Linked DNA regions of Struthio camelus. The protein of the gene in region 1 purifies or fractionates together with the protein of each later gene. This does not show direct contact. Links are inferred from orthologs where the notes say so. Each region holds a gene or a part of one and is shown on either strand. Other genes may lie near its edges.

Region 1 (7,098 bases):
GTGCTACCCAACATATGTAAGCATGGAAAAAAAAAGATGTCTTTTAAAATAGCAATAAGATACAGATGATTTTTCAGAGGCATTTAAAAATATTAATGGTGTAAAGACAGCTTGACAAACACGGGATGATTATTCTCTTCTCCACAGGCCAAAGTACAACGGTGGCATCCTTCCAAACAGCGCTCAAGATGTTTGATTTCTATTTCAGTTGATATTTGACAGAAAGGACTTTATTTTTACATTATCGAGGGGAAGTGGATAGGAGTACTTTTTCTGTTGTTTTTCCTACTTGCTTCCCTTGATTACCCTACTGCCTTTCTACTTGTACTGTTTGAAGTGTTTTATTATCCATGGTCAGACACCTGAGGGCCTTCAGGATTTAAGTTATCTTCAATAGTCCATTGTTATTTTAAGGTGTGGTATCCAAACATCTACCAGCTAAACACTTGATGGTTAGTGTCTGCAACATATAAATAACAAGCTAGATGAAGAGCACAGTGGCCTGGAAAAGACGCAGACTGAAATTAAAACATATATCTGCTCTGAAGTTCTCTGTGGTTCAACATCTAAGTTTTAAGACAAACTTCTACTTCATGATTAGCTAAGGTAATAAGATGAGGAATTAGGAAATCCCAATGGTAGCCTGAAAAAAAAAGGCTTTGCATCAGATGAATCCTACGCTTGAATTTCACTTAACTAGAAATAAGAGTAGCATCCTGCTTTCCTTCCTCTGGCCACACATTCCCTTGTGTCTAGTGATCTAGCGATGGTTAGCCTTGAAGTCAGTTGCTCCAATGAGCTCATCTGACAGAAGACAAATCCACCAAAAAATATGAAGCATTTTCCATTGAACTGGTTTGCCCAGCTGTTTCATTCCGCAGTCTCACTTGTACAGGATCTCATGTAAGAGGGAGGAAGACAGAATACATGGCTGAAGAGAGATGGAGAAGACTGCACTTTTCAGCATTAGCCTCCAGTCATACTGTATTAGGTGCACCCTAAAACTGTACTCAGAAGGTATGGTTCCACAAGTTGAGGTTAGGTGACCTAACACTTATGTGGGGAACACCCCCTCTTCCTCTTCTCCTCTCTGCTCCTGACTGTTAAGACCCTCCACGATCAGATTTCACTCATTAACCCAGAAGGAAATGAACCCAACAAAAACATTAGGTATTTTTCTGTCTTGTTATTAAGTAGCTCATGGAAGCATATGATGATGAAGGATGTAAGGGAGGGCAACCATCTGCGATTGGGAGATGAGGAGTGAGCAACATATCTGCTTTTCAGAGCTGGTGAACTCTTAGATCAGATCAGCTCTTCATAGATCTGCAGCTGTAGAAATCAGTTTGCTCAGCAGATCATCACCGAAAGGTTGATTCTAGAACAGATAAAACTCAGTTGAGCAGGATGAAGCAAGCTATTTTTGCTTGTGCTAACAGATTCTTAATACTGTGATCAATGTGCCATTAAAAAGACAATCTGAAATCAAAGAGAATCTGAAACGTCTCATAATCTCACTGTGAATGGAAAGATATAGTCACGGCTGCACAACTTAAAATGTTCTCAGACTACTAAAAGCAAATTAGGCAACAATGCTTAGTTATTCAGGAAGGGCATAGGCTTTTAAGGCGTATATCTGGCTCAAAACCAACCCATCTATGACAAAGTTTACCCAGGGGAAAGAAAACCAAAAGCACTGAAGAACCGAGGAAACAGAGGTTCTGTTGCTTTGTCCGGGTAAGTGTTTCAAAAGTCAATTCAGCAAATCAGCCACTCAATCTTACCCCAATGGGCCCATGAGCCAAGTTTGGGGCACAAGCCTATTTGACCCAGCCTCTCCCTTAGTCCTAAAGGAGACGACCGCTCCGACATAGTCTGAAGGATTTTCTGTGTCTCTGCACAGCCAGGCATTCCCTGAGGCCTTGAGGCTCATCCTATCCTCCTACACAGAAGTAGGAGCATCAATTTGGACAAATAAGTCTCTGCCAAGGGGCCTGCACTTCACAGCCACTGCTGCATCTCCAGGGGAATGAGTGGGGATGGACTCCAGACTTTATAAGAAGCAGTCAGATGTCCATGCTGCATAGATGAAGGTCAGCAGTTTGTGAAGGGGAAAGAAGAGGGCAGCTGCTGCACTGAAAGATTGTGGGGTATTGGCATGGTTGGGTGGGAAAAGCACTGTTGTCAAAAGGAACGAGAGAGCAGCTCCTTGGACATAAGGAGTGGGAGGCAAAGATCAGCCTCCAGCAACCTCCTACAACCGATATTTACCCTTTGGGCTGTTAAGTTTGGGTATCCCGCTGATGCCATAAATTTTTAACTAGTGAAACTAGTAGTACAGCCCTGAAATATTTTAGAAGTACTCCAATACTTCTGACCAATTCAGATGTTAAAAAATGAATGTGAGGGAAGAAAATAATTCAGCAGAGGGATTGTTTTATTTTCAACTCTAGAGGATTGCTTTATTTTCCAAAGTTGTTATTTCTGTTTACACACCCATGGAGACATTGTAACAAATCAGTGAATTGGAGGCACAACCAGACAGCTTCACTGATTACATCTTTTCTTGAACAAAATCAGGGAAATAATACTGTATTTTTGAAAAAAAAAAAAGGGCAAGCAAAAAAGTGTAGAACTATTTGATGAGATTTTCTCTGCTCCATAGTTTAAAGAGAGTTCCCAAACTATCTACAGATTGGAACTTTGAATGCTGTTGTATACTGTAAATGAATTTTAAGAAACTCCTGTTGGCAGACTTTTCTTCTTCTTGGGGTTGCCAAATCTCATTACTTTATTACAAATCCCGTAATGTTCAATTGATTTCTTAAACCACAATTCAAAGAATCATTGATTAACGAGCATCTTGCCTTTCCTTTTTTTTTTTTAATAAGTAAATTTCTCAGGGACAAACTTATTGCAGTAGGTAAAAAGATAATCAGAGTAAACACCAGAGCAGTCAGAGATGTTATCATCTATCTACTACTTTCTCTAATCAAGAGTGATGAGAATCACTGTTTGCTAGGGGTTTTTGCAGCTGCCTGCTGACAACAGAAGATGGCGGAGTCTGGGGACTCCACGTTTTTCAGTGGAAGTGCTCACAGAATTATAAACCTCGGTCCCTGATTAGCTTTCTCTCTGTGCTCTCCGATCTTGCCCTCCACCTTAGCTTCAGCCTCTATCTCTTCACATTACTGCCAGTTTCATGAATTTCAGAAATTCCACTGGCTTCACTGTGACCCCACCCAGAGCTAGGGGTCGGTTTGCAGTTATCAGACCATATACAGCAACATTTAAAAATAAATGGTATTTTTAAAATATAGCTCGATTGTCTGCAGGTTCAAGGGCAGGGTTTGCATCTGTTAACTGCCCCACCAGCTGATCGCTGCATGCAGCACCCTGTAATTCATGCAAAGCCACCTTTAGGTTGCACCTAGAGGTCTGCACATGCAAGTCATGCTTCTGGTTGGCCATTGTGAGGCCTCGTTGCTTGCCTGACACAAAACCCAGGTAGGAGCTCAGGGTTCTGCCCGATTTAAAGCTTAGGGTTTTGTTACGTTTTCGTTATCACTTAGTTTTCTTAAGTCATTAGGAAAACGCGATTCCTGCCTCCAACTAAAAAAAGCACCTAAGGGATTTTTGGGTGTCAGAGAGCATAGAGTTAACAAAGTTATGACGCTGTTCAATGGCAAGCCCTCTCTCTGGGTTCGTTTTCCCCGTCTGCAGGGTACATCTGAGTCTCACCGAGAGGCTCTTCGGTCAAAACCCGGGGACTGGAAACGCATGTAAAACAACAAGTCCTGACCCTTGAGTAACGGCCCAGCTCCAGCAGGGGGTCGTTTACAAACACTGCCTCGGGGGCAGACGGGGGAGACGAGACCACCTCTCCTTCACACCCACACGCCCTTCCCAGCCAGCCCCGCTGAACTCCTTCCCCCCTCCCGGCCCTTCCTCAGCGCCCGCCTCAGCGCCAGCGCCGCCCTCCCGCCTCGCCTCACGGCAGCCGTTACCCACCCCTCAGCCCCGCCCCGCCCGCCGCGCTTGGGGGAGGAGGGGGAGGGGGAAGGAACCGCCCTCCCCACCCTTCCCCGCACTGCGCATGCGCTGGCCGGGGAGGCGGTGGGGGTGGGGCGGCTGCAGTTCGCACCTCCGCTGAGGGGGGCGCTGCCGCCTCGCCTAGCGCGGGCCTGGTGCCGCCGCCGGTTCTCGCTCGGGTCCGCAGCCGGGATCATGATGGCGGCGGCGACGGCCGGGGGAGGCGGGGACCGAAGCAGCACCCGGGACCGGCTCCTGGCGGCGCTGGAGGATCTCGAGCTCCTGGCCAGGTACCGCGCTCCCGCCGCGCGCCGGCTGAGACGGCGCCAAGCTCGGGCGGCGGCCGATGGGCCAGAGGGTGCTCGGCGCTGTACGGGCGCGGAGCCTCGGACGGCGCCGGCGAGCCGAAGCCGGGGCGGGTGCCGCCGGGGGCTGAGGGGGCCCGGGAGGGGGGAGATCAGCCCGACCCCAACGCCGGGGCGGCACGGGGCCCTGCGTTTTCCTGCTGCCGCCGCCCCGGCACCGCCTCCAGGCCGGCTCCTGGGGCAGCGGGGTGCGTGCTGCGTCTGCTGCAGGGCCCCTGCCCCGCCGGGGCGCCGCCGGAGACGCTTCCTCGTATTCCGTGTTCTCAGAGCAGAACGGGCAGCTTCCTTATTCTTCGGCTTGCCTTCCTTTCTTGGTTGTCACCTGCGTTTCCTGTTGAGACAGTCTCCCCACCCCCCCTTCACAGAAGAGGTTTGAAGCGTTTTATTATTCACTGAAAAACGGCGCATATGTCAGAGCTCTGTAGATGGTATTGCACGACTTAAGCCGTTCTGGTCATTACCAGTTCAACTCTGTCAAAGCAGGCTGTAAAGCGTGTCCTTGGAGTGATGCAAATGCTCAAGTAGGTAGCCCGCGCTCTTCAGGCTGGACTGCAGCTCCCCATCCAAGCTGTCCACCATGTTGTGGGAGTCCCAGCTAGCAGTGCAGTGAAACTGGTTGCTAATTATCTTCTTCCTCGCAAGGAGAGCAGGAGCTTAGGAAAACTTTTTCACAGGGAGCAATCTAAAGTGTTCATGTGGCTGGTTCGCTCTTTCTGATTACCCCAGGTAGGACAAGGACAGTATACTGTCCAGTTGCTCTTCTTCTTTCTAGTTAGGTTTTATTTTCAGTTTTAGATTTTGTTGTGACTTTTGGGTTGCTGGAATGGGGGAGAACATCTGCTGTTTTAGGAAAAAACATTTTGCTCTTTATCTAAATGTTTACTGATTTTTAGGGGGACTAAGATTCCATCATAATGAATCCAGAGCATCCCTCAGCAATATTTTTGTGAATCTTCCTGTTAATCAGCAAAGTGTTGAAGCACCATGGCATTAGACCTTTCACAGTCATGATATTGCCTTGGTGGTAGGAGCAAAGGAGCCTGCTTCAGATAAACTTATACATGCACAGCACTGAACTTCAGCCCATGTCATTAGAAGCCAAACATATTTGCCCCATTTACACCAAGTGCCTTTTTGCATCATGGTGTTGTTGTTTAGCAAGTCCCTTTAGAGGTTACTGACAGGTTTTCATAATGGTGGCAAAGTAAACGGGTATATGGAGGCACAATCAAGAGGTTTAGTTGAGATGCCCTTCTAACCTAGTCCCAGAATATTATTAGTTTATTCATATTTTTGTATGTATTTGATATACAGCTGATATACCATTGTGAGAATACTTGTTTTTATAATAATAATAGTTTCACAACAAACTCTTTAAATGTTTGAAAGCGTAGGTTTAATTGCTCTAAACCCAAGTGTGAAACTTGCTCTGTTGTAAAAACAGAGAAAAAGTAGAGAAGTAAAATAATGATAACAACTTATACTTTCATGTTCTCTTGCAATAAACAAGGGTGATAAAACTAGAGCACGAATGTATTTCATTGTCTTTTTTCTTCTCCCAGCTTCTATTTATGTCTCTTTCAGTTTGGCACGTTTCTTGCTCATGTGCATTTGTGCTCGCTTTGTGAGCTCAAAGGAGAAAAAATAATTATGTGAATAGTCTCATGATTTGAGCACATTTTTTTCTTTCTAAGTTGAGAAATCCCTGACACAGCTATGCTACAAAACTACAAAATGCTCAAGCATGTGAGTACTTTTGTAATGCTGTCAGTACTCTGAAAATTTTGGGATGACTTAGTCTGATTTGTAAATAGCATAGAAAAAATAGCATAGCAAGTTGTATAAATACACAGTTTTCTTTTCAGAGAACTAATTGAAATACTGGCAATTTCAAGAAACCAGAAGCTTCCGCAACCAGGAGAAGAAAGCCAGGTAAACTAACTTTCTTAACAGTATTTCTTTGTGTGGTCAGATGTTCTACTTTACTTCTTTCTTTTTTTTTTCCTCTCTTGTCCCTGCGTATGTTTAGACTAATGATGATGATGAGTTTTTGGCCACACTAAAATGATATTCCTGGTCCTTGTGGTGCTTTTTTGTTTATTTTCTTTACTGCATGCTTCATAGGTTGTTTCTGCAAACAGAGCGAGAAGTTTGTTTCATTTGGCATGCAAACAGAAATACTCATGTAGATATCAGTTGTTCTTCCTTGCTGCATAATTGTGGGTATGCTGTTACTCTGACTAAATTAAAAGTTCTATGAAACTCTTGTCTGACAGATCCTGGAGCTGCTGATTCAGAGGGATGGAGAGTTTCAAGAGCTAATGAAGCTGGCAGTTGATCAGGGGAAAATTCATCATGAAATGCAGCTTTTAGAAAAGGTAGTAGAAAAGAGGGATAGTGATATTCAGCAGCTGCAGAAGCAACTAAAAGAAGCAGAGCACATACTGGTAAGTTCAAAGGTGCTGTGCTTGCTTTTAAGCACCTACTTCTGAAAAAGGTGGTTCTGGAGAAAACAGTGTTGTGTTAGTTTGAAAAGATTCAATATTTAAAACTTCACAACCGCTTAGCGGAGTTTTTCTTTTCAGTAGGCAAACGCTTTTTAGTTATCGGGGCATTCAGTTTTGTTTTACAATGTTAATTTTCTTCCAAAGCTAGTTTACTTTTATATATTTTGAAAATGTTCCCTGAATGGTTTATCCAT
Region 2 (7,014 bases), on another chromosome or scaffold:
TAAAGGTGTATGTCCTGCCATGAAAAAGGGGAAGGACTCTTCCAGTCAGCTTCCCCAGGTCGGTAGAGATGTAGCACTGTGCTGGAAGCAGATTCCACAGCAAACGAATTGTCAAACTAGGACGTGCAGTAGTTAGTATCCTCCAAGTTACAGACGCAATACTGTTCCTTTTGTCTTTGTGTAGAAAGAAAGAAAAAAAACCCACAAAAACTCTGTTCTCTTCCTAGATTCTCAAATGGCCAGAGCTTCGAGCAAATGGGGAGCAGCTGACTGAAGTCCTAATAAACAATGTGATAACAGACCCCACCTTCACTTACCTTGTTGCTCTAACTAGTGTGAACATAACAGCCATTTGGAAGAAGTCATAGTTACTTGTAATGGAAAGTTTCATTCCCGTGCTTTGAAATAGTGCAGTATTAGTGACTGTTACCCATGTAACCATATTTTCTAGACCAGCTATTATCATGCAAGAGAAAAAGGGAAGAGTTTGTTACAACTCCTCAAGTCATTGTAAACATCCAGTTTCTTTTACTGTAAGTTTTCACAATTTGTGCATTTGTTTTATAGAACTGACACTTAATAAAACAAAATACCAGTTCAGTTGGCAGTGCAAAGACTTTTTGAAAAACATATACACACACACACACACATATATATATATAGGATTGGGGCTGTGCTAAGAGAGTTCATCCACCCCTATCACTCAGGAACTTCTCACACTGGAAGTACAGTCACTAGGCTAACATACACCCCTGCCAGCAGCCTAGTACAAGTATTTGCCTTATGGTTCCAATTAGAAAAGTAAAAAGTGATTTTAATGAAGTATCCATCAAATCAAACAAGACTTTAATCCTCTTGGCATAGGACCCAAAAAAGCCCCAAACTATTGCGACTACTTTCAAGAATTAAACGACGAGTGGGACAAGTAGAAAATCTTTGCCATGAATGACGGTTCAGATAAAGCATTCAACTAATAGCCATATCACTCTATACCAGAGGTACAGTCCATTCTAAACATGATAATTTTATTCGATTCCTTCTTGTTTGTCTTTAATGGCAACCTGTAAAACAAACAAAAAAAAAATACAGACACTAAGACAAAAAATATCACCGAGATGGAAGAAGTTATTTTAAACATAGGTATCAGTCTTCTGCGAAGCACAAGAACAACTGCGAAACAGTGGAAATCTCTGCGCCACATGCTAAATAATATTTAAAGTAAAATCAAAACATACTGGCAAAAGAATTCCTAGTGCACTGTTACCTTTTATGAGCATATCAAAGAATATTACACATATACTACGTTATTCAAAGCTCTCCCTGCTTTTGTCTGACATACTTTTCAGCTAGATTAAATCTAAAAAAGATCTGAGGCTAAAAAAATAGAATTGTACATTAGAGCACAATTAACCAAAAAAGTATTAAAAACAAATACTGTCCCTTGAAAGAGTTTTGGCAGAAGGGGGGGGAAAAAAAAAAAGGGGACTTGGAAGAACTAGAGAATTGTTTTCCATTCCAATAAAACTGGGAGAAATCCAATACTGGACAACTAGGAAAGACAAAGCACCCATTTAACTCTTGTAGGGTATGCCAGCGCACCCCCCCCCCCCCCGCCCTCTCCCCCCTTGCCCCGTAAGGGCGGCCAGACGTCACCATCCCTTGACAGGAGCTGTTTGTGCTATGAGCTGCTGCACGTAGCTTTGATGAATTCATTGCCTAAAAATGGCAGCAGTTCTAACATACACTACCCCTTCCATTTAACTTTCAAGCAGGTGAGCTTTCTGCAAGTAATAAATAGAATAAAAGCTAAAGTAAACAAGCTTACCCTGAACCTCTCCTCCAGGAGGGAGAGTTCACTGATCAAGTCTGTGATGGCGTTGGTGAAAGCTTCCTGGGGACTGTAATCCGGCGTGGTCTGAACGCGGATGATGATTTTGTGTTCCAGCGGGTGCGGCACTTTGTAGCCCGCAAACAACACCTGCGGGTCTTTCAGTAGCTGCCTGGAAGGGGAGCAGCAGTGGGCAGCCATGCTTTGCTGCCAGCACCCGCTAGACCCGCCGCAGCCCCCGACCGGGCTGAGCGCCGCGAGCGTCTCCGGCCGCCCCAACGGCCGCCCCCCCCCCCCCCCCGGCCGCGGCCCACTCACGACTTGATGATGTTGCCCAGCGTGTGGTCCTCCTTGTTGATGGTGAAGAGGCAGGCGTTGGGCACCTTCGTGTCCTTGTTGATGGTGATCCTGCGCGCACACCCCACACACACCCCCGTCAACGCCGGCGCCGCCCCAACGCGGAGCCCGCCCGGGCCGGGCCGCGGGGCACCGGGCTCCCCCTCCCGGGCTTCCCTTCGCGGAGCCGCCCTCGCCCGGCCCCCGGGACCCCCCTCCCGCCGCCGCCGCTCACTTCTTCTCGCCCTCGAAGAGCAGGAAGGACTCGAAGGCCGGAGGCGCGTTCATCCCGCCGCCGCCGCCGCCGCTCGCCCCGCCGTTGCCACAGCGCCCAGCGCGTCACTTCCGCCCGCCGCCGGCTCCCGCTTCCGGCGGCGCCGCCTCCAGCGCCCCGCAGGGCTCCGCGCAGCCGCCGCGGTGACGTCGGCGGCAGCGCCATCAGTGACGTCGGCGGCGGTGCCCCCAGCAGCGCCGCCAGCCGCGGTAGCGCCCGCGGAACCGCCAGCGATGCCCCCCCCCCCCCCCGGGCCACCAGCCATGCCAGATGGCGTCACCAGTGATGTCACCATCAGCGCCCTTAGTGCTGCCATCAGCGATGGCACCACGGCCACCCGCCCTGTCCTCAGTCCTCCCCCCCCCCCCCGGGCCACCCCGCCGCCCCACAGCGCCGAGGAAGGACGACGGGGCGCAGGGTGCGAGGAGCCTTTATTGCCTTGGCGGTGGCGGCGCGGGGCGGGGAGGCCCCGCGTGCCCCTCAGTGGCGGCGTCCCCGGGCGCGGGGGGGCCCCTCAGGTCTGCAGCTCCAGGAGGGGGCCGGGGGCGGGCGCGGGGTGCGCCCGGCAGTGGCAGCCCTCGAGGTCCCCCAGCACGGCCAGGAGCCGGCCCAGCCCCTCGGGCAGCGGCCCCCCTGTGGAGGGGGACGAGCAGAGTGAGGCCGGCGGCCCCCTGAAGCACCCCTTCCCCTGGCACCCACCCCCCACAGGTTGTTGGGGGGGGGTCCCTCCCTCCCAAAATGGCCGCCCCACCACCCACGCTACCTTCAGGGCGGCTCCAGGGTCCATTGGGGGTTTCCTGGGCCTCCAGCAGCTCCCGGTACCTCTCCCTGAAGCGAGAGGGATGAAGCCACAAGCAGTGGGTGGCCCCCCAGCCCCCCACCCTGGCCCCCGCCGCACCTCATGGGCTCCCGCAGGCCGCAGAGGTGGCGGAAGATGAGCTGCGCCTCCATGTCTGGCTCCAGCGGGTCGCTCCACTCCTGCAGGGTGACGCCGTGGCGGCTGGCGTCGCAGCCCAGCCCTAGGGGACAAACCCGCCGCCGCTCGGGCCCCGCCGCTCCCCAGCGGGGAACCCGGCCGGCCCCCGTCCCCTGCCCGCCCCGCCATACCCGTCTTGTCCTTCTGGTGACAGCAACTCCACTTGTCCCCTCTGAAGACGCCGGGGTGGTAGGAGCAGAGCATCTCGGGGTTGTTGGCGCAGGCTTTGCGCAGGGCCGAGAGCCACTGGTTCAGCTCGTTGACGCACTGCAGGACGGGACGGGGCAGTGATTGGGGGGGGGGGGGGGGGCCTATGTGCACGGCGGCCCCGGCCCCGGCCCCCCACGCCCACCTTGCACTGCAGGTACACCGTCTCCTGCTGCCCTTCCTCGTCCACGTAGACGATCTGCATCACGTGGGAGCTGCCGAAGCTCTTCTCCTCCACCTTCTCAGCTGCCCGGATGTTGGACAGTGCGATGGAGCTGCTCTTCTGTCACCAGGGATGGAGGGAAAAGTGGGGCTCAGCACCCTCCCTGCAGCCTCTGGAGACACCTGAGAGCCACCAAGGACTGGAGGGAGGGAGCTATGGGGCACTGCCACGTCGCCATCGCCAGCCTTGACCCACCATGCAATGCAGAGCCCAGCACCCCAGGGTGGCACACGTCCCCAAGATGGGGCCCATGGCTCTGCCAGCACCTTTCCCATGCAACGCCAGCCCTACTGAGACACGTCCCTCCATACCTTGGAGTTGGGGGTCTTGGCAAAGCTGAGGGCCTCACTGGTGAGGGAGAAGTGCAGTTTCTTGGAAGAGGAGGAGAGCAGCGGCCCCTTGCCCCTGGTTTTGTGGACGAAGAGTGGGCCCTCCTTGACAACCAGCGTCTGCAGGGTGAGGGCGTTCTGCAAGTCCAGCTCTGTGGGGAACAGCCCCGTGCTTGTCAGGGGGAGCCCGCAGGGCTGCGCCCGTCCCTACAGCCACCTCCCTCACCTTCCTTCTCCTCGATGCCCACCAGCTCGGTGATGAAGTCCTTCATCCGGGTGACGCCACGCTGCAGCGCGGGCTGCAGTGGGGCCAGCCAGGCCTCCTTGGCCCGGCCTGCTGCCGCCTCCATGTTCCCCACGATCTGGATGGCCTGGAGCCATGAGGGACAGCGGAGTCAGAGCTGCAGGCACCACACAAGACCCCAGGTGTCCTGGCCCTTCCTCACCAGCCAGCCCCGCAAGGACATGGCGGCTGGGCACTCAGCAAACCCCAGGAGGGCCACGCAGCACCCTGGCCAGGAGGACACAGCACCAGGACCCTAGCCTTCCACCCCTCCCCAAACAGGCCCAGGTGACCCAGAGCAGGTGCCAGGGACCCTTTCTGTGTCCCCATCCCACCTTGGCCAGGAGAAGCAGCGTGCGGCTGGTGCGGGAGTCGGCGTGTTTCTCCCGGAGGTAGAAGAGTTTGGGGGTCATGATGGCTGGTGAGAAGAAGCGGAGGCAGAGGAAGCTGGTGACGGCGATGAACTTCACGTTCTGCAGCCACGCAGGGGGCACAGGACGCACATGAGGGCACAAGGCATACAACATGTTCACGAGGGCATGAGCCACGTGTGAAGGCACAACACACGAGGGCTGACATTCCCCGGGCAGGGCACATGCTGATTTATTCCCAGGGCTCCTTCACTGGTGCCTCGGGGAGGCCGTGGCAGCTGCCTCCACGGCACGAGCAGGAATCCCATATTTATGTGGGATGTGACTGCGAATAGGGTGGGAGTGAAATTGTGGTGACGAGGGCCAAAAGAGCCTCACCTTGCAAAGATGAGCCCCATCTTCCCCAGGGCCTCCAAGCTATGGGGGGCGATGCCTCCAGTCCCCCATCCCCTGGGAATCTCCAAGGGAAATTCCCCAATTTTCAAATAAACTGAAAGCAGAAAGTCTCATGATTCTGAGCCACTGCTGTGGGGCCTCCTGGGAGCTGCAGTTCGGTGCTGCGTGCCCTGCTTTCCCCATGCACCGTTCCCAGTGGGAAGCACCCAACCCCTGCCGAAGAGGGGAACCCTGGGGTCCCGTAGCCCATGCCAAGCCTTAGCCAAGGCTCCTGGCGCAGAGCGCGGCCACCCCCGAGGGAGAGCAGGACCCCGAATCATCCATCATCCCCCCAAGGGCCTTCCCCTCTTGCCCACCTCGTGCTGGTGCTCAGGGAAGCGCTCCCTGACGCGCCGGAAGAGCTGGCGGAAAGCAGCGCGGACGATGGCGGGGCAGGCCGGGGCCGACTTGGCGATGGCGGCCAGGAGCTCCCCCAGGTAGGACTGGAGGTGCTGGCAGCTCTGCTCGATCACCTCGCTCTCCGTCTGCACGCGGTGCAGCCCCGAGCACCTGTCGACACAGCCTGCCGTCAGCCCCGCCGGGGGCTGGGGGGCCCTCGGGAGATTGCCGTTTCCCCCTCCGTCCGCATCCCGCAGCGCTGCCCCTTACCCAACGTCTTTAATCTCCACCTTGCTGGGGTCCAGCTCCACGTACTTCTTCTCCTCAAACACCCGGTTGATGGTGGGCCCGAGGACAGCGTGCAGGTACTGCATCCCGGCCACCTGGCAAGAGACAGAGCAGGGGACACAGTGCTGGGGACACCACTGCCACTCTGCCAGCGGCACCCGCTACAGACACCCCAAATCCCCCTGCTAAGAGCCGCCCAGGGTTACTTTGATTGTTTCTTTCTGTGCAGCCTCCAGCCACCTCCTGGCACATCCCCGCCCAGCAACGAGCATCCCTGCAGGCCAGGGCCAGGGATCCCTGCGGGCATCCCTCCTGCCCAGAGCCAACCCCCCTCCCAGGGCGGGGGGTGACACAGGCACCAGCAGGGGCAGCATGGAGCTGGGACAACCTGAAAATATTGGGGTTCACCCCAAAGCTCCCAGCAGGGGCCCGCCGCAGGCAGGGTGCAGCCCGGCGGGCCAGCAGGGGGGCAGAGCACGTTCCCATGCCGGGGGCAGCGCGCAGCACCTTGAGGAAGGACTCCATCGACTTGGAGGCCAGGGAGTTGCTCCGGAAGAGAGTGTTGGGCTCGCCTGCAAAACACGACAGGGAGGGTCGCATGTCAGGGACAGCGACAGGCAGGTGTCACCCACCCTGCGGCCACCCCGCACCAGCCCCAGCTCCCAGCCTTACACGGCTTTGCCAGCTCCAGCTCAAAGAGCAGATCCAGGAACTCCTTGACCAGCCCCTGGCCCAGGAAGAGCTTGACCAGGTTGATGGCCACCTCCTGCCGACACTCGGCCGTGGTGGTTTCATCAAGGAGGGTGATCAGGTGCACTTTGCCATCCTGGTGGGGACAAGGGATGAAGACATGATGGCACTAGGGAAGCAGATTACCCCCCCCCCCCTCTGGGGAGGAGCTGACGTGTTTGGGACACGTGGGGCACACTCGGCCAGGGGCAATGCTCACCTGGGGCCCCGACTTCACCTCCTGGCACAGCAGCTGGACCAAGGGCTGGTAGCAGCTGGAGGGCAGCACCGTCTCGTCCCGCAGCCGCACCTGCAGCTGCAGAGATCCCAGGTTGCCTCTGCGACAGGACAAGTGTGGGATGGAGAGGCACCTCCCAGAGCAGGAGGCGTCCCAAC
Region 3 (6,875 bases), about 34 Mb from region 1:
TCCATCCTTAGGCCAGGTGCCTGCAGCCCCCATAAAAGAGAGATGTGCAGAGGCACTTTTTTCCATTGTATTTTCTTATAGGGGCAGGCTTGGGCATCTCTGCATTTAGCGCACGTGTGAACCCCGTCACAGCTGCCTAAGCCTCTCCATGCTGCTTGGCCACCCATAGCACTGCCCCAGAGCTGAGCACGCAGTTTCCAGGTACCTGAGCCTCATGCTGCCTGCGCCCAAATGTCAAATACCTACTCGGAAAGTCCCACGTTGGTGCTGCTGCATCAGCACTTTAGCCACACTCTGTAAGGTACCATTCATTTTATGTTTATTTATGCTTGGTTGAAAAGCTTCTCGGGACCAGAGCTTTTTGCATCTGCCTATTAAAACACTCTGGCACTTCACAGACAATTAAATAATTGCCTCACTAGTCTTCTTTTTCCACTCGTCTCTCCTATCTGGTTTTCCTTTCATGTTTATTTTATTTGATTGATCCACTTCTTCTATTACGTCCTTCACCTCTCCCTCTTCCACGCGCTCACTAGAAAACAAGGCACAGCTTAGGCTAGAGGAAAGTGTAACCTTAGCCCCCTGGCTAAGATGGATGTTTTGGGAGAAGAGTAGCTCAGGTTGGCTGGTTGCCTCTGTGCCTGCTGCAGGTTCCTGTGCTCCTTTAGTTACTAAGGGGCCGCTTTGGGAGGAGATGGAGAGACAGGCTGGTGGCTCTCAAAGAGCCTCCTCTCACTTTGTCAGCCTCTTGTTTGCAGCGGGAACCCAGTGAATGTGACCACATAGTTTTATCCATGTACAACCTTGCTCTGCTCCATATTTCTACCTCCGCTGGTACCATGCTGCTCAGGCAGCTGCTTCCTGACTTCACAAACACCATCTTCACACGTGGAAATATATCTCCGAGCTTAATACAAAAGCTTTGTTGGGACGAGGTTTTTCTCAGAGGGATATAAACTTCCCTAGGTTCAAACTATGGGGATAACTACTTATTGCACAGGAATCCCCGATCAGTAATTGATCCAGTATGACCCCTATGTGGCTAATTACTGACTGCCAAGGCAATTTCTGTTTAAACCGGACTGATAGTTAATTAGTCTCCTGCCCATCAAAGTCACGACCTTGTTTTGGCACGAGGAAAGCAGAGGGTGGCATATCTGGCCAAAGCACCTCATTGCTGCTCCAAAAACAGACAGACGAGGTATTAATAACTGAAAATGAAAAATGGGAAGTGAGCATCCAAGAAGAGGCAGAAGCTTTCTTCGCCTGCCATTTCCTTGCTCTCTTTCTTCTCTCCCTCCTCTGAAAAAACATTGCTCATGGGCTAAAAGACCAAATAAAAATGCAGAAGTACAATTTCCACTTGATCACTTTCAATTAGTGGCAAATACTACTGCCAACTCAGTTTATACTACAGAACACAAGAAATACTGCTAGTGTTAGTTTTTTGTCAGACTGAGAACTGACAGTTTATTTCTGCTGCCTGTCTTGCCTTTCAACCACTTTCCAATCCATAGCAGAATTTACCTTCTACCTCATGACTACCTAGTTTCCTTAGTAACTTCTTGTAAGTGTATGACAAAAGCTTGTGAAAGTCCAAAGAGATTGTCAAATCTTTATTTACTGAAAATGATGTGTTCTAAAATCTACTAGATCTCTGCCCAATCTAATTCAGTTAGTAATACCCAGGTATTAAGTCTCCCCCAAACCAAAATGTAATACTCTTGCTTGTGCAAAGATATTTAACACCTGCAGGCTTCTATATGTTGTCCATTTCTGTCCTGCATGTATGAATTCAATACCAAAATGATTTTTTTTTCAGTTTTGTACATATTTCAAAAATGGTTTATAGAAAAAGGCGGTTAAAACCATACATTTTGATGCCTTCAGGAGGTTTTTAGATTGCTTAAATATTACCCTAATGAGTGCTTAAATAAAATTTACTATCAGCTTACAATTTATTTTGAAGAAAAAAAGGAACCAAATTCTAGACATAAAATAATCAGAACAGCTTGAATGGTGAAACAAATGAGAAAGGAGCAAAAATTAGTAATAATCATATGTTTCATCATTTGCATTACCTGAAACCTCCCAGCACAGTATAGGTTTCCCCTTGCTAGACGATGCAGATGCAAAATAGCGGTCAGTCCTAGGAGCCTGCCATGTAAGCAGGCAAGACTGAGGCTCGCAGGAGACAAAACAAGCCAGCAGTGCAAAGAGTATGGATGGTTTGCATTAGATACGTTGTCAGGGAAAGGTTGAGAAGAAAGGAATCCAGGAAGACTTGGGCATACTCCTAAAATCTTTTGGGCAGTTTTTTCCTCTGAAGATTTGAGAACTCTTCCTCTGCCGTTGGCAAGTTTGAAGAGTTCCAGTTAGGCCATCCACACCGCTCAAGGGACTGCAACGAATAGCTGTGTTGTTGCTGTCCTTTTACTGGTAGCCGAACAACTCTCTGCTAGGAAGCTTTTGCTCAAAATGTATAGTGAAGGGGCAACCAGGAAAGCAAAAGTTTCAAATGATTAATGCTATCAACTTTTGGAAGCGCTATTACACCTTATGTGTCAAAGTTTAAGGAAAGCTGCTGATATTATGGATTAGGAGATTTAATGTTGGAGTCAGATCATCTCTTTTCAAATCCAAAGGCACCTATGTCTTTTGGAGAAGCAGCTAGAGCCGGCGCACAGTCAGAGACGGGATAGGGAACCAGGAGAGCTCCCCCCAAGCCAGTACAGCTACTTCCTGGTCCGCATAAAAGCCAAGTTGGAAACAACCTGCAGCAGTATATAACAGCTGGTAATACCTTGCATACGAGAGAGGAAACAGTTGTGTATTGAAAATATACTATCTAGCATTGTTCTGCACCTCGAGTGGGTCGGATGCGGATGCACCCCGAGCAGGGGGAAGCGGGAGCCCGGCTGCTGCTGCTGCATCACGTCTCGCCGCGCACGTGCCACCGCGGCGATGCTCATGGCGGCAGGGAGGCTCTGCCTCCCCTGGGCAGCGCACGGCTGATCTGAACATACTAAAACGCCCGTTTCAAATAGGATCTCATCTGAGCAAAGTCTTAAGGAACGGGTTTCTCTGGAGTAAAACCAGAAAGGACACAGATACTTTAGCCAGTTCTCTCAGATTAACCTTCCCGATATTTCTAAGTCTTTACGTTGGCTTCTCAAGCGCTGCCATAAATTAGGATTGTGGAAACTCGCCGAGAGTGAACCGGTGAAACATATGGCAAGCCGCAGACATGATGGCTGGAAAGGAGCGCGGCGCGGCGAGCCAGCGCTTCAGCCGCCGCGCGCCCTCCTCCTAACTGGCGTCGCCGCTCGTGCAAACTGCAAGCAGAGGCGAAGGATGTGCAAACGGGACCGGCCGGGCCAAGGAGACGCTGCCAAGCGTTCCTAGAAGGAGATTTTACCAAAACGCTCGCCCTCGGCCTATGATGAAAACCGCTTTTTTTTTTTTTTTTTTGCTCTTTTTGTCTGGACCGTTCGCCCGACAAGGGGGAGCCGGTGACTTTTCCCCTCCTTCTAACGGGCTGCCCACACCGGGCCCCGCTCGGGCGCGGCAACAGCGGCGGCGGCGCGGGGCGCCCCCCGCTAGGGGGCAGCGCCGACCGCCCCCCGGGGGCCGGGGCCGGAGCTGGGGCCGGGGCGGCGGCGGAGCCCGGCCCGCGCCCCCCTGCCTGCCTGCCTGCCTGCCTGCCGCCCCCGCCCCCGGCGCGCCGCCCCCCGCCGCCGCCTCCGCCGCCGCCGGTGATGTCATGGGGCGGCGGCGGGGGGCGGCACTGCGGCTTGGCGGGCGTCTGGCGGCGGCGGTGGGGCCGGGCCGGGCGAGGGGCGTCGTCATCTGCATTCACATGGGGGAGGCGGGGGCAGCGCCGGCCGCCGCGGCCTCCGCCTGAAGCCCCGGCCCGAAAAAAAAAAAAAAAAGAGGTTGGGGGTGAGAGGGGGGGGGAACGCATCCAAAAAAAAAAAAAAGATTTAATAATAAAAAAGGGGTGTCCTCGCCGGTGCGCTGCCTCCGCCTCGCCCTCCGCTGCTCGCCGGAGCCGGGCTCCTCCTGGCCGCGGCCATGAATTCCGCGGAGCAGACCGTTACGTGGCTGATCACCCTGGGCGTGCTGGAGTCGCCCAAAAAGACCATCTCGGACCCGGAGGGATTTTTGCAGTCGTCTCTGAAAGACGGCGTGGTGCTGTGCAGGCTGCTGGACCGCCTGCTCCCCGGCACCATCGAGAAAGTAAGTGCCCCCCGTCCGCCCGCTCGCTCGCTCGCCCCCGCGACGCCCTTTGTGCGGCCGCGCCCGCCCCGGCCCCGGCCCCGGCCTCGGTCTCTCCCCTCGCCGGGAGACCTGCCGGGCCGCGGGGTACCGCGTCGGGGCGGCGGCGGCTCAGGACAAAGTCCTGGCGGGCAGGAGGAGGAGGAGGAGGGCGAGGAAGGCTCAGCCCCGGGCGGCCGCGCTGCGCCGCTGCCCCGCGCGCAGCCCCGGTGCCCGCGGCGGTGCCGGGTAGAGCCGAGGGAGAGGGGCAGCTAGGGGTGCACACAGCCTCCCCGGAAAGGGCTTCCTTCCCTTGAGAGCCGCGGAGTTGCAAGTGTTTCACACGGAGAGAAAGAAAAGCAAAAAAAAAGCAAACAAAAAAAACCCCAAACAAAACCAAAAAACCCTAAAAAGCAAAAAAAAAAAAACCCAACAACTTCAGTATATAGTCCTCACTCTTCAATTTGAACGTGCGTTTTTGAGATTTGGACCTTTTCTGCCATGCTGTAAAGCCGGCTGAAAACTTATCTCCCCAACTGCTGGTATAGTCAGTGTCTCACCTCGCTTGGGGCTGTGATTCAGCTCATCCCTTTCAACGTTTGAAGGAGGTTTTGTGATGCTACGCTTAGTTTTGGTGTGGGCTGTTTCGGAATTGTTTTAGGTCTTTTTAGTGCTTTGTAGCCTGTGGAGAAATCTCATCTTTTTGAGATTTGGGGGAAAAAAAAAACCAAAAAACCCACACACAGTTTTATTCTGTGTTGTGTTTGAACAAATATAGTGCGTCAGGTAACTTTCATGTATTGTGTATGCATACATAATTCTTTTTTTTTGTAGTTCAGATGTAGTGAATTGTGATTTTTGGATACTGTACCTTGAGATTTGGAATGATGCAGTTGTCTCACCTGGGCTCAGTGTCCCAGTGTTTCATTCTGCATGCTGGAGGAAGCGTTCAACAATGTAATATACATTATGGTTATATATATATTTTTTTTTTCTGTAACATATGCGCTTGAACTATGTGTAGTGGCAAAACTTTCCTTTTGAACCACGCAAGGTAGTGAAGAGAAGATAAATGAAGGTCATCTGCTACGTTGACAGGAAAATTCCTTGCCTGAAAATAATACTGCATTTTTGAACTTTTTCAGCTTGCAGACCTTGCCACTACAGACATTTAAGCCTGCTGACAGTAGGTTTTCATTACCTTTGGTGGCTCTTTTAAAAGTAGCCCGCTGACCCACAAAGTTGAAAACTGGTACGTTGAGCTAAATAGGGCATTGGACACGGCACTGGCTTTGGTTATCTCCCTTTAGTTCTTGAATTTGCTACATGCTGAAGTGGTTCTTGTGTTGTGGTGTACTGTGGCCCAGAGATCCTGGCCTAGGATGGGGGTCCTGCTACCCTGGGTTGAGTAGGCCGTTCCTGCCCCCCAAAATTTGCAAGCTAACTTGGAGACAATACAGGGATAGAGAAACCACTGGGGAGCTCAGGGTGTTGTCGATGGATCCAAGCGATAGGAGCGGACACGACGTATCGGCCGTGGTGTGAGCGTAGGTGACTCGGGCTCCAGCATGGTGACAGGTGGAGCCAGCTGGGACGCCCAAAGCCGCTGCTGTCCCCTGCTCACTGCTCTGCCCAGGAGTTGCTATTTGTATAAGAGAGCTGGAAGAGGCATGTGTTTGCTCCTGGGGCGCTCACAGCTCGGGTAGGGAAGGTGCAAACTGCTCTCCGTTTCATTCAGTACCCTGCACACTGCAGCTCCGGAGCAGGTGAAATGTCTTTTTCGGCTGCCCGGGGTGACACATCTGGCAGCAGGGAGGACGTGGGGCTGCAGGCTCAGCCATCCCGGCTACCTACGTGAGCAGGAGTCCCCAGCTGCAAAGGCAGGGTCTCTCGCGGCTCCCTTTCCCCCAGGCTCGCTCTCGTCTGGTTAGCACCAAGTCTTCACACAGTTAAGTCTCAGCACAACATCTTACCAGTCCTCTGTGTGCGCAGCCTCGAGTAAGTCTCGAAAGTGCTTTGGACTCCAAACTTTGGGGCAGAAAAAGTATTTCCCTGCGTGCAGATGCCAAGCCTAGTGAAATGGGAGCCCAAACTCAACTTGGGAGACAGGATGTAACTGTATGACAAAATAATTAAAGAGAGCCTGATGGAAATAAGTGAACCGAATAGTGTTAGAATAGTGTTTTCCAACTCAGTGTGCATGCCTGAGTATGGTATATATATGGCTTTGTTAATGTAAATGAGTTTGTTAATGTACATTTCACTTTTTTTTTAAACATCAGGGTGACTGATGTCTTTGATGTTCAGGTAGGGGTCGCTCCCTGACGCGAGCCCACAGGGTTTGTGCAGGGACATGGTTGCCCCCAGCCTACCTTACTCCTGGTATGGTGTGCAAGGAGCTGTCAGTGGGTCTGCGCTGGGGGCTCAGTGGGGTCTGTCTGTCCATGCCTTAATGGACCTGGTGGTGCAGAGAGGAAGGGGTTTGCATGTGGGCTGAGGTGGCCGCCAGGGCGGGAAGGTGACTTGCTTCAGCCGAGCAGTGGGAGGAAAGCTGGAGCTTCGTGGCCTCCGAGCTTCCCGGAGCTAGCCCCGCTTGGGCCAGGGCGTCGCACCCAGGG
Region 4 (7,972 bases), on another chromosome or scaffold:
TCAGACTGCAAAATGCTTAAAGGTGAACCTCTCTCATCTTTCACATACGCTTGATACCAAGTGAAATATCAGCAGGAAACTCATCCCTACCAAGTGCCTAGGTGAGAACAAGGAGCTGGCCTTGGTCGGACGTTCACGGCAGAGAGCCATGCTCCCACCAGGAATTCAGATAGACATCTCTAAAGGGGTTATTGCCCTGGGGCAGAAACCTCCTGGGAACACCACACCCCTCAGGACCCATGTACAAGTACCTTTTACCCCTAAAACTGATCTTGAACCAGGAAGAGAACAATTCAACCTCCACCACTGTAAAAGCCTTCTTCCTCTTTACAACACCCTAGAAATGGACTGCATTTCTGTGCTGGGACTGCCTGTACTTTCTGAGGCTGTTATCAGCCAAACAGTAGAGCAGTTTGGGGCAATAACACAGCACCAGTCCAATGCTCTCTGCTCGAGGGTGTATAACAACGGGGCAGCGTACCTGGGCCATCAGAATAACCTGCATCGCCTGGATCATCCGTACGCTGCCATGTACTGGCGTGGCTCACCACGGAGCCGCGTGTGGGACTACGCCACCTCCCTGTAACACCTTCCCCAGCAACCCCAGTCAGGAGAACAAGGGGGTCTGCAGCAAAGGAAACGCTGGGGGCGGTCAAAGAGTATCACTGTGGGGAAGGAAGGTCCCACTGCCCTGCTCCCTGTCCAGGGCGCGCAGGAGGAGGCCGCAATCGGGAAGACGGAGAAGGGCCGGAGCAGGGATAAGGCACCTGGGCAGAGGAATGGGGAGCAGGCCTGGTGCAGGGCTGCCCCTGCAATGAGGTGCCCGGTGACAGGCCCAGACCCAGTTGCCCCCATGATGAGGGGTGCCTGATGACAAGACCAGGCCCAGTGTACCCACCACGAGGCATGTGGTGACAGGCCCGGGCCCGGTGCATCCACCATAAGGTGCCCAGTGATGGACCAGGCCCGGACCCCCATGACGAGGTGCCAGTGACATGGATCGGGCCCAGGGCCCTGTGACGAGGCGCCGGTGACATAGACTGGGCCTGGGCCCTGTGACGAGGGCTTGGTGACACAGACCGGGCCCAGACCCCCATGACGAGGGGGCTGGTGACACGGACCGGGCCCAGTGCACCCACCATGAGGTGCCCAGTGATGGACCAGGCCCAGGCCCCCATGACGAGGGACTGGTGACACGGACCAGGCCCGGGGCCCCAGGACGAGGGGCTGGTGACACGGACCGGCCCCGGACCCCGTGACGAGGGGTCCGGTGACACGGACCGGGCTGCTGTGATGAGGGGTCGGTGACATGGAGCAGACCCCCGGGACGAGGCGCCGGTGACACGGACCGGACCCCCGGGACGAGGGGCCGGTGACATGGACCGGGCCCAGTGCACCCACCATGAGGTGCTCAGTGATGGACCAGGGCCAGGCCCCCATGACAAGGGGCTGGTGACACAGACTGGGCCCAGATCCCCGGGACGAGGGGCTCGGTGACACGGACCGGACCCCCATGACCAGGGGGCCAGTGGCATGGACCAGGGCCGGACCCCCGGGACGAAGGGTCGGTGACACGGATCGGGCCCGGACCCCCGGGACGAAGGGGTTGGTGATACGGACCAGACCCTCGAGACCAGGGGGCCGGTGACACGGACCGGACCCCCATGACCAGGGGGCCGGTGACACGGACCAGGGCTGGTCCCCCAGGACAAGGGGGCCGGTGACACGGACCAGGCCCAGTGCACCCACCATAAGGTGCCCAGTGATGGACCAGGCCCGGGCCCCCATGACGAGGGACTGGTGACATGGAGCAGGCCCGGACCCCGTGACGAGGGGCTGGTGACACGGAGCGGGCCCAGGGCCCCAGGACGAGGGGCTGGTGACATGGACCAGGCCCCCATGATGAGGGGGCTGGTGACACGGACCAGACTCCCAGGACGAGGGGTCGGTGACACAGACCAGGCCCCCGGGACGAAGTGCCGGTGACACGGACCGGCCCCCGGGACGAGGAGCCGGTGACACGGACGGGGCCCGGGGCCCCATGACGAGGGCTTGGTGACACGGATCAGACCCCCGGGACGAGGGGGCTGGTGGCACGGACTGGGCCCAGTGCACCCACCATGAGGTGCCCAGTGATGGACCAGGCCTGGGCCCCCATGACGAGGGGCCGGTGACACGGACCGGGCCCAGGGCCCCACGACGAGGGGCCGGTGACACGGAGCAGGCCCAGAGCCCCCACGACGAGGGCCGGTGACACGGACCGGACCCCCGTCACGAGGGCCGGTGACACGGACCAGGCCCAGGGCCCTGTGACGAGGGGCTGGTGACACAGACTGGGCCCCACGAAAAGGCGCCGGTGACACGGACCGGCCCCCGTGACGAGGGCTGGTGACACGGACCAGGCCCAGGGCCCCGTGAAAAGGCGCCGGTGACACGGACCGGACCCCCGTGACGAGGGCCGGTGACACGGACCAGGCCCAGGGCCCCATGAAAAGGCGCCGGTGACACGGACCGGGCCCCACGACGAGGGGCCGGTGACACGGACTGGGCCCCGTGACGAGGGGCCGGTGACACGGAGCGGGCCCAGAGTTCCACGACGAGGGGCCGGTGACACGGACTGGGCCCCGTCACGAGGGCCGGTGACACGGACCAGGCCCAGAGTCCCACGACGAGGGGCCGGTGACACGGACCGGACCCCCGTCACGAGGGCCGGTGACACGGACCAGGCCCAGGGCCCCATGAAAAGGCGCCGGTGACACGGACCGGGCCCCGTGACGAGGCGCCGGTGACGGACCGGGCCCGGTGGCACGCGGGGTGGCGGGCCCGCCGTTACCATTTGATGATGTCGTGGACGAGCGGGAGGAAGGAGAACTCCTCCTGCCCGGGCGGCGGCGGCGGCGGCGGCAGCAGCGGCGGCGGCAGCGGCAGCGGCGGTTTCGGCTCGGCCGGCGGCTCGGCCGGCGGCGGCTCCTCGGCGGCGCGGCCGGTGCCCCCCCCCGAGGCCATGGCGACCCCGGCCCCGGCCCGCGCCGCCGGCGCCGCGCGTGACGTCACGGGGCGGGGCTCCGCCTGCCCCGCCCCGCCCCCTGCCCACACTGCGCATGCGCGGCCCCGGGGCGGGCGGTTGAACCTGAGCTGCGGTGTGAGCCCGGGCCCGCGGCCGAGGCCTGAGCGTGGGGCTCTTCCCGGGGCCGGGGCCGGGGCCGGGGCCGGGGCCGGGGCCGGGGCCGGGGCCGGGGCCGGGGCCGGGGCCGGGGCCTGAACCTAGGGCTCTCCCTGGGGCCGGGGCCGGGGCCGGGGCCTGAACTTGAGGCTCTTCCCTGGGCCAGGGCCGGGGCCTGGGTCTGAACTTGGGGCCGGGGCCTAAACTTGCGGCCAGGGCCTGGGTCTGGGGCCAGGGCTGAGGTCTCAGGCCTGGGTCTGGGCCTGACTTGCGGTGTGGGTCTGGGCCTGAACTTGCAGCTGGGGCCTGGGATCTGAGGCTGGGGGTGGGGCTGGAGCAGCAGCTTTGCCGCACCGTCACTGAGACGGGCTGTGGGCTGCTGCGCGCCTGGCCGTCCTGCGAGGCGGGTGATACGGGGTGGTCCAGCAGGAGAAGGCTGGAGCTGAGCTGTTCTCTCCCAGCTGGGGGTGCGTTGTCCTGCGCAGGACCCAGCTCTGCACAGAAGGTGGGAAGCTGGAGGAAGGACAGAGTGGGGGATCCCGTAACCCAAGGGCGAAGAGCAGGAGGGGGTCCCAATAACAGCATGCTGCACTGCCCCCAGGGGCAGCTCCCAGCCCCTTAGCGAGAGCAGTCTGATTTCCTGAATCCCTGTGCACATCCCCCTCTTTTGTATTAATTCTTAGAGCAAAAATTGCATCATTCTCCATAGAACCAATAACTATTGCAGTCCTCAGGACAGCAGGGTTTGGCTGTGTCTGGCTAGCTTTTTGCACTAATGCTAGCATTTTGCACTGCTTTTCATTACTTGGTATCCCTGGCTTGACCTTTATTTAACCGGAGACAAGTTGTCGAGGCGGTTGAGTGGCTGGGATGCGGTCTTGTAATGCCTTAATGGTACTTTGATGCTACTGGACTTTGTGCCTTACGGAGGAAGCACAGGTTACAATCAGTTGGAGGGAAAGAAAGCTTGAATATTTGAGATCCTGGTGCCTACACCCCTGCAAGCCCCTGTTTCTCAAAGACTGAATTAAAGTTTAGCCTCTGGGGCAATGGCTGCATCGTCACGAGCAAACTCTCATAGGCTTTCCTCCTGGTTTGGTTAAAATGGGCTTAAATTAAGGAGTCTGAGCTAGAGCCAGAAGTCTGGTGCCAGGATTGGTAGAGGGAGAACAAACTGGGGTCTCGTGTGATGGACCTGTGGGTGAAAGAGGAGGCTTGAGATGGCACGTGGGTCTTGAACCCGTGAGATCTGGGATGGTGCATCAAAGGGATGTGGAATTTGCCTCATCAAGCTGCTGCAAACTGCTTTTATACCTCTACATCAACATGAAGAATTACAGCCCTAATAACAGCAGCCGCAATCATGAGTTTTCCTTCCTGAACTGGCTTAGGAAAAATGTATAATTTCATTTTTCATTTGAAACAGGCCCTCGTGCTCATCAGTTATGGGCTGAGGATGACTAGGAAAGCAATTTTCTTTCTTAAACCAATTTATTTCTAAAAGCAAACAGAAGCTATTTATATATCAAATCAGAATGCTGGTAACCGTTCATACACGTGGAGTATTGACTGTTTGCTCTAAATATAGCAGATGCAATCGCTCACTTTGTTCCTGCCATCAAGAATAGATCCCGGTTTGGGTGCTGATGCTGGAACGAGCGAAGGAGCCGCGGGGAGCTAAGGGCCCTGGCCCTGTAGAGCAGATCCCTGCAGGAAGGGCGCTGCGTTTTACCGTCCTTGGCTCTGACAGCAAGAGCCAAGCAGGAGGTACAGGATGCTGCGTCTTTCGCACTGCACTGGGCACAGAGGTTCATTGCTGCCTATTGGTGTATGGGCTATTACAGCGAGATTTGGCTGAGGCTCTGGGGGGGGGGGTCTCCTTCCTCTGTGCTGTGCTGCTGGTTTTAACTCTTCCCCCCTGACTCACGGAGGAGCGTGGCTAATTGCGAGGCCGCTGGCCCTCTGCGTTTGGTGGTGAGTCAGGCAGTCGTTAGAGCAGGTGACGACATGCCGACACCTTCAGCCGGAACTAAAGCGCTGTCAATCAGCATTTCTTTGTGCTGTTCAGTTCCCGTTTTTGTTTGTGTGTTCTCGCAGCAGCTGTAGCATGCAGCTTTATCTTGTTGCCTTTAGCCCCTGCCCTTGCCTGTCACCTTCTCTTTCTCGTGGGAACCCAGCCCTGCGCGGCTTCTCTGCCTCCCTTGGGTGACTGATCTCCGTCCTCGGGGCCTTGTCGTGTCTTGTGGCGAGTAAGGGGGAGAGCGAAGCGGTTTTGCAGTAGGGAGGTGGTCGCACTGGCTCCCCCATCCCTGAAGATATTGGTGAATTAATTGGGTGACACTGTGTTGGCACGATTTGAGTGCCAGCCTGCGCAAGGCCTCTTGCCCATGCGGTGACTGATGGGTGTGCGTCCCTGGTGAGGACTGCAGGAAGAGGTCAGACCCAGCCGATAGGTCTGGGAGAGAAGGGAACACAGATTTTTAGGCATGGAGACAAGTTTTGACCTCAGCCGTGGAGGAGTGCTGGTGTGTCTGAATTCTCAGCAGTCCTTGTGGAGCTCCAAACTGTGAGACCCTTGTCCCCACGGAGCGACTATTTGGTCGTTTGGGTTATGTTCTTGCAATGCTGTTCCCGATAGATAGATGCTGCCAAAAACATGGCCTTTACCATCCACATCACTGAAGTCCCAGTGGGCCCTCTGTCTCGGTCTGGCCTTCCTGCTGTTCTGCCCACGTGGAGCCGGCGTTGGTCTGCGGTGGGAGCTGGACTCCCTCGTTTCCCGTGGGGTTTTCACCTGCTTTCAGATCCTCAGCAGAGAGGTTTGAGTGAGCAGCCTATGAAAACTCGTAGCAAAGCATCTAGAGCATAGACAAAGATACTTAGCGGTGGATGAAAAGGATAATTTCCCCCTAGATTTGGTAATAAAGCTGAAGTGCAAGTGATTGTCCTATTTTTTTCTTCTGTATGAATTTGATTGTGGCTCTTTGTATAACTCACCTGCCAGGCATTGGTTCATGAAATGTGAAAATGTCTCCAAGCCATCTGATCTTCCAGATCTTAAACCACTGTGTATGTTCATTTCTTGCCCAAACATTTGATTAGCCTATTTTCCCGAAAACCAGCTGGTCAAATAAACCTTATCTGAAGCCTCTTTTGTTGTTGCCTGTTTTCTTCCCAATATCAATATTATTCTTTCTGTCATTTCTATACAAATTGCACCCTTTCCCTGCTTCCAAAGGTAACTTCTTTTGGATTTACCATCAGCTACTTAATTCAGCGTCAGTCAGGTGCCTGTGCATCTCCCCGAGGTTTTGTTACAATGACTTGACATGTATATATTGATGGCTTGGCACTTCACCTGGCTCTACTTCTCGCTGCCGGGCCATCTGGAGTTTGTTGGGCCGTTGTCATCAGCTCTGTTATCATTTTTTACTATATGGCTATCACCAGGTTGAACTTTATCTCTTCCTCCTGCCCCAGCACCCCATTGTCTGCCTGAATTTTCTGTTTAAGGCTTTGTTAAGCTGCTGCTTTGGGATAAGTCTCAGCGATTCAGAAATTGCCAGGGGCAGAGGGCTGCGCTGCGAAGTCAGGAAGGTGCTGCCAGGGTTGCAGCCGCCTGGCACCGGGCGATAGGAGCAAAACGTTACAGCTGCTGCCGGCCTCTGGGAAACCTGCCCGGCGTTGCGGTCAGGAGCGCTGGCCCTTTCCGCTAGGTCGTGGCTGTGATCCTGTGGCTGCTGAGCCGCCTGGCCCCGATCCCCCTAATTTTGCCCGGCCAGAGATGCTGTCGCGGGCTGTGCCCTGCCTCGAGCGCTGCCGTCGGTCAGGGTCCATCTGAGGGGCCCTGGCGTCCCTCGGGAGGGAGGTTTGCTGAAGCCGCTCTGCGAGACCCTTTCCACCGCGGCTCGTAGATGCGGGCGCGCGGAGGCAGGAGCAGGGCTGCTGGGCAGGGTGCAAAGCCGGAAGATGCAGTGTTTTAGCTGCAGAGAGTCAGGCACCGGAGAAGAGCCTGGAAAAGAGGCGGCACAAGTGGTTTGGGCCAAGCTCCTCGCGGCTCTGGGCTGCCCGCCGGGGCAGCGGGTCGGCGGCCTGGCGGTGAAGGCCAGCGCCCTGCCGCAGGAGGCTGGGGACAGAGCGGGGACGAGTCAGGGGCGCGGGGAGTGTCCAGCCATCGCGTGACGGTCACTGCGCGCCGCAGGGCCGGCCCGGGCGGCAGGCCCAGCTCCGAGGACACGGCGAGGGCCGAGGGCTTCTTACGCAAGGTCGGCTACACGGAAAAGCAGATCCAGGAAAACACACGGTCCGACAGCCGGAGTCCCCGGGCACGGCAGGCTCGGCGGCCCCGAGCACACAGCCGGCCACCGCGCTGCCTTGCCTCAGTTTACCCCAGGCATCAGCTGGGTCGCGATCCCTGCCTGGCTCCTGGGGAAGAGGGGTGACCCGTTCAGGAAGCAAAAGGAGCCGCATCCGTGTGACAGCCTGGCTTGCACCCGCTGCGGGCTTGGCTCAGCAATGGCACTGCTGTTATTTGCAAATATTTGCCTCTAGCTACAAAACCCCTGAAGCGGAGGCGTTTGGTGCCCTCGGCCTGCAGTCGGGGCCGGGAAGCAACATCATGAGAGCCTGCAGCGGCGCTCAGCAGCCGGCCGGCTCGAGGCTTGCTCCGCCGACGCTCTCCGGGCGCTGGGAAGGTGATGGAGCAGACGGCGCATGGCTGGGCGGCCCCGGGCGCGTGCAGAGGTGTGCGCGGCCACACGTGTGTCCCCGGGCACGTGCCCGCGTGGCTGCCGGAGTGCGCTGCCCCGC

Evidence for each region.
Region 2: the proteins of MED4 (region 1) and POLR2J purify together in Homo sapiens (affinity purification with mass spectrometry; 3 studies listed by BioGRID and IntAct, with this or other methods). This does not show direct contact. The link is inferred for Struthio camelus from reciprocal best matches to the Homo sapiens genes MED4 and POLR2J.
Region 3: the proteins of MED4 (region 1) and ARHGEF7 purify together in Homo sapiens (affinity purification with mass spectrometry; 3 studies listed by BioGRID and IntAct, with this or other methods). This does not show direct contact. The link is inferred for Struthio camelus from reciprocal best matches to the Homo sapiens genes MED4 and ARHGEF7.
Region 4: the proteins of MED4 (region 1) and MED9 purify together in Homo sapiens (affinity purification with mass spectrometry; 10 studies listed by BioGRID and IntAct, with this or other methods). This does not show direct contact. The link is inferred for Struthio camelus from reciprocal best matches to the Homo sapiens genes MED4 and MED9.

What each region holds. Positions count from the first base shown.
Region 1 is NC_090942.1:192,114,144-192,121,241, reverse strand, and holds the start of MED4 (mediator of RNA polymerase II transcription subunit 4), read left to right. Parts: upstream 1-4,093; 5' UTR 4,094-4,227; coding exon 4,228-4,322; intron 4,323-6,262; coding exon 6,263-6,329; intron 6,330-6,673; coding exon 6,674-6,844; intron 6,845-7,098. UniProt on the Homo sapiens protein: Component of the Mediator complex, a coactivator involved in the regulated transcription of nearly all RNA polymerase II-dependent genes.
Region 2 is NC_090957.1:14,405,069-14,412,082, forward strand, and holds POLR2J (DNA-directed RNA polymerase II subunit RPB11-a), read right to left. Parts: upstream 2,550-7,014; 5' UTR 2,453-2,549; coding exon 2,400-2,452; intron 2,237-2,399; coding exon 2,147-2,236; intron 2,001-2,146; coding exon 1,826-2,000; intron 1,062-1,825; coding exon 1,026-1,061; 3' UTR 506-1,025; downstream 1-505. Other genes in the region: LRWD1 (leucine-rich repeat and WD repeat-containing protein 1), read left to right, coding at 228-368; ras GTPase-activating protein 4, read right to left, coding at 2,953-3,071, 3,202-3,266, 3,337-3,457, 3,546-3,681, 3,767-3,904, 4,156-4,325, 4,400-4,544, 4,792-4,929 and 5 more. UniProt on the Homo sapiens protein: Core component of RNA polymerase II (Pol II), a DNA-dependent RNA polymerase which synthesizes mRNA precursors and many functional non-coding RNAs using the four ribonucleoside triphosphates as substrates.
Region 3 is NC_090942.1:158,295,172-158,302,046, reverse strand, and holds the start of ARHGEF7 (rho guanine nucleotide exchange factor 7), read left to right. Parts: upstream 1-3,861; 5' UTR 3,862-4,074; coding exon 4,075-4,239; intron 4,240-6,875. UniProt on the Homo sapiens protein: Acts as a RAC1 guanine nucleotide exchange factor (GEF) and can induce membrane ruffling. Functions in cell migration, attachment and cell spreading. Promotes targeting of RAC1 to focal adhesions. May function as a positive regulator of apoptosis.
Region 4 is NC_090956.1:3,992,652-4,000,623, forward strand, and holds the start of MED9 (mediator of RNA polymerase II transcription subunit 9), read right to left. Parts: upstream 3,007-7,972; coding exon 2,834-3,006; intron 1-2,833.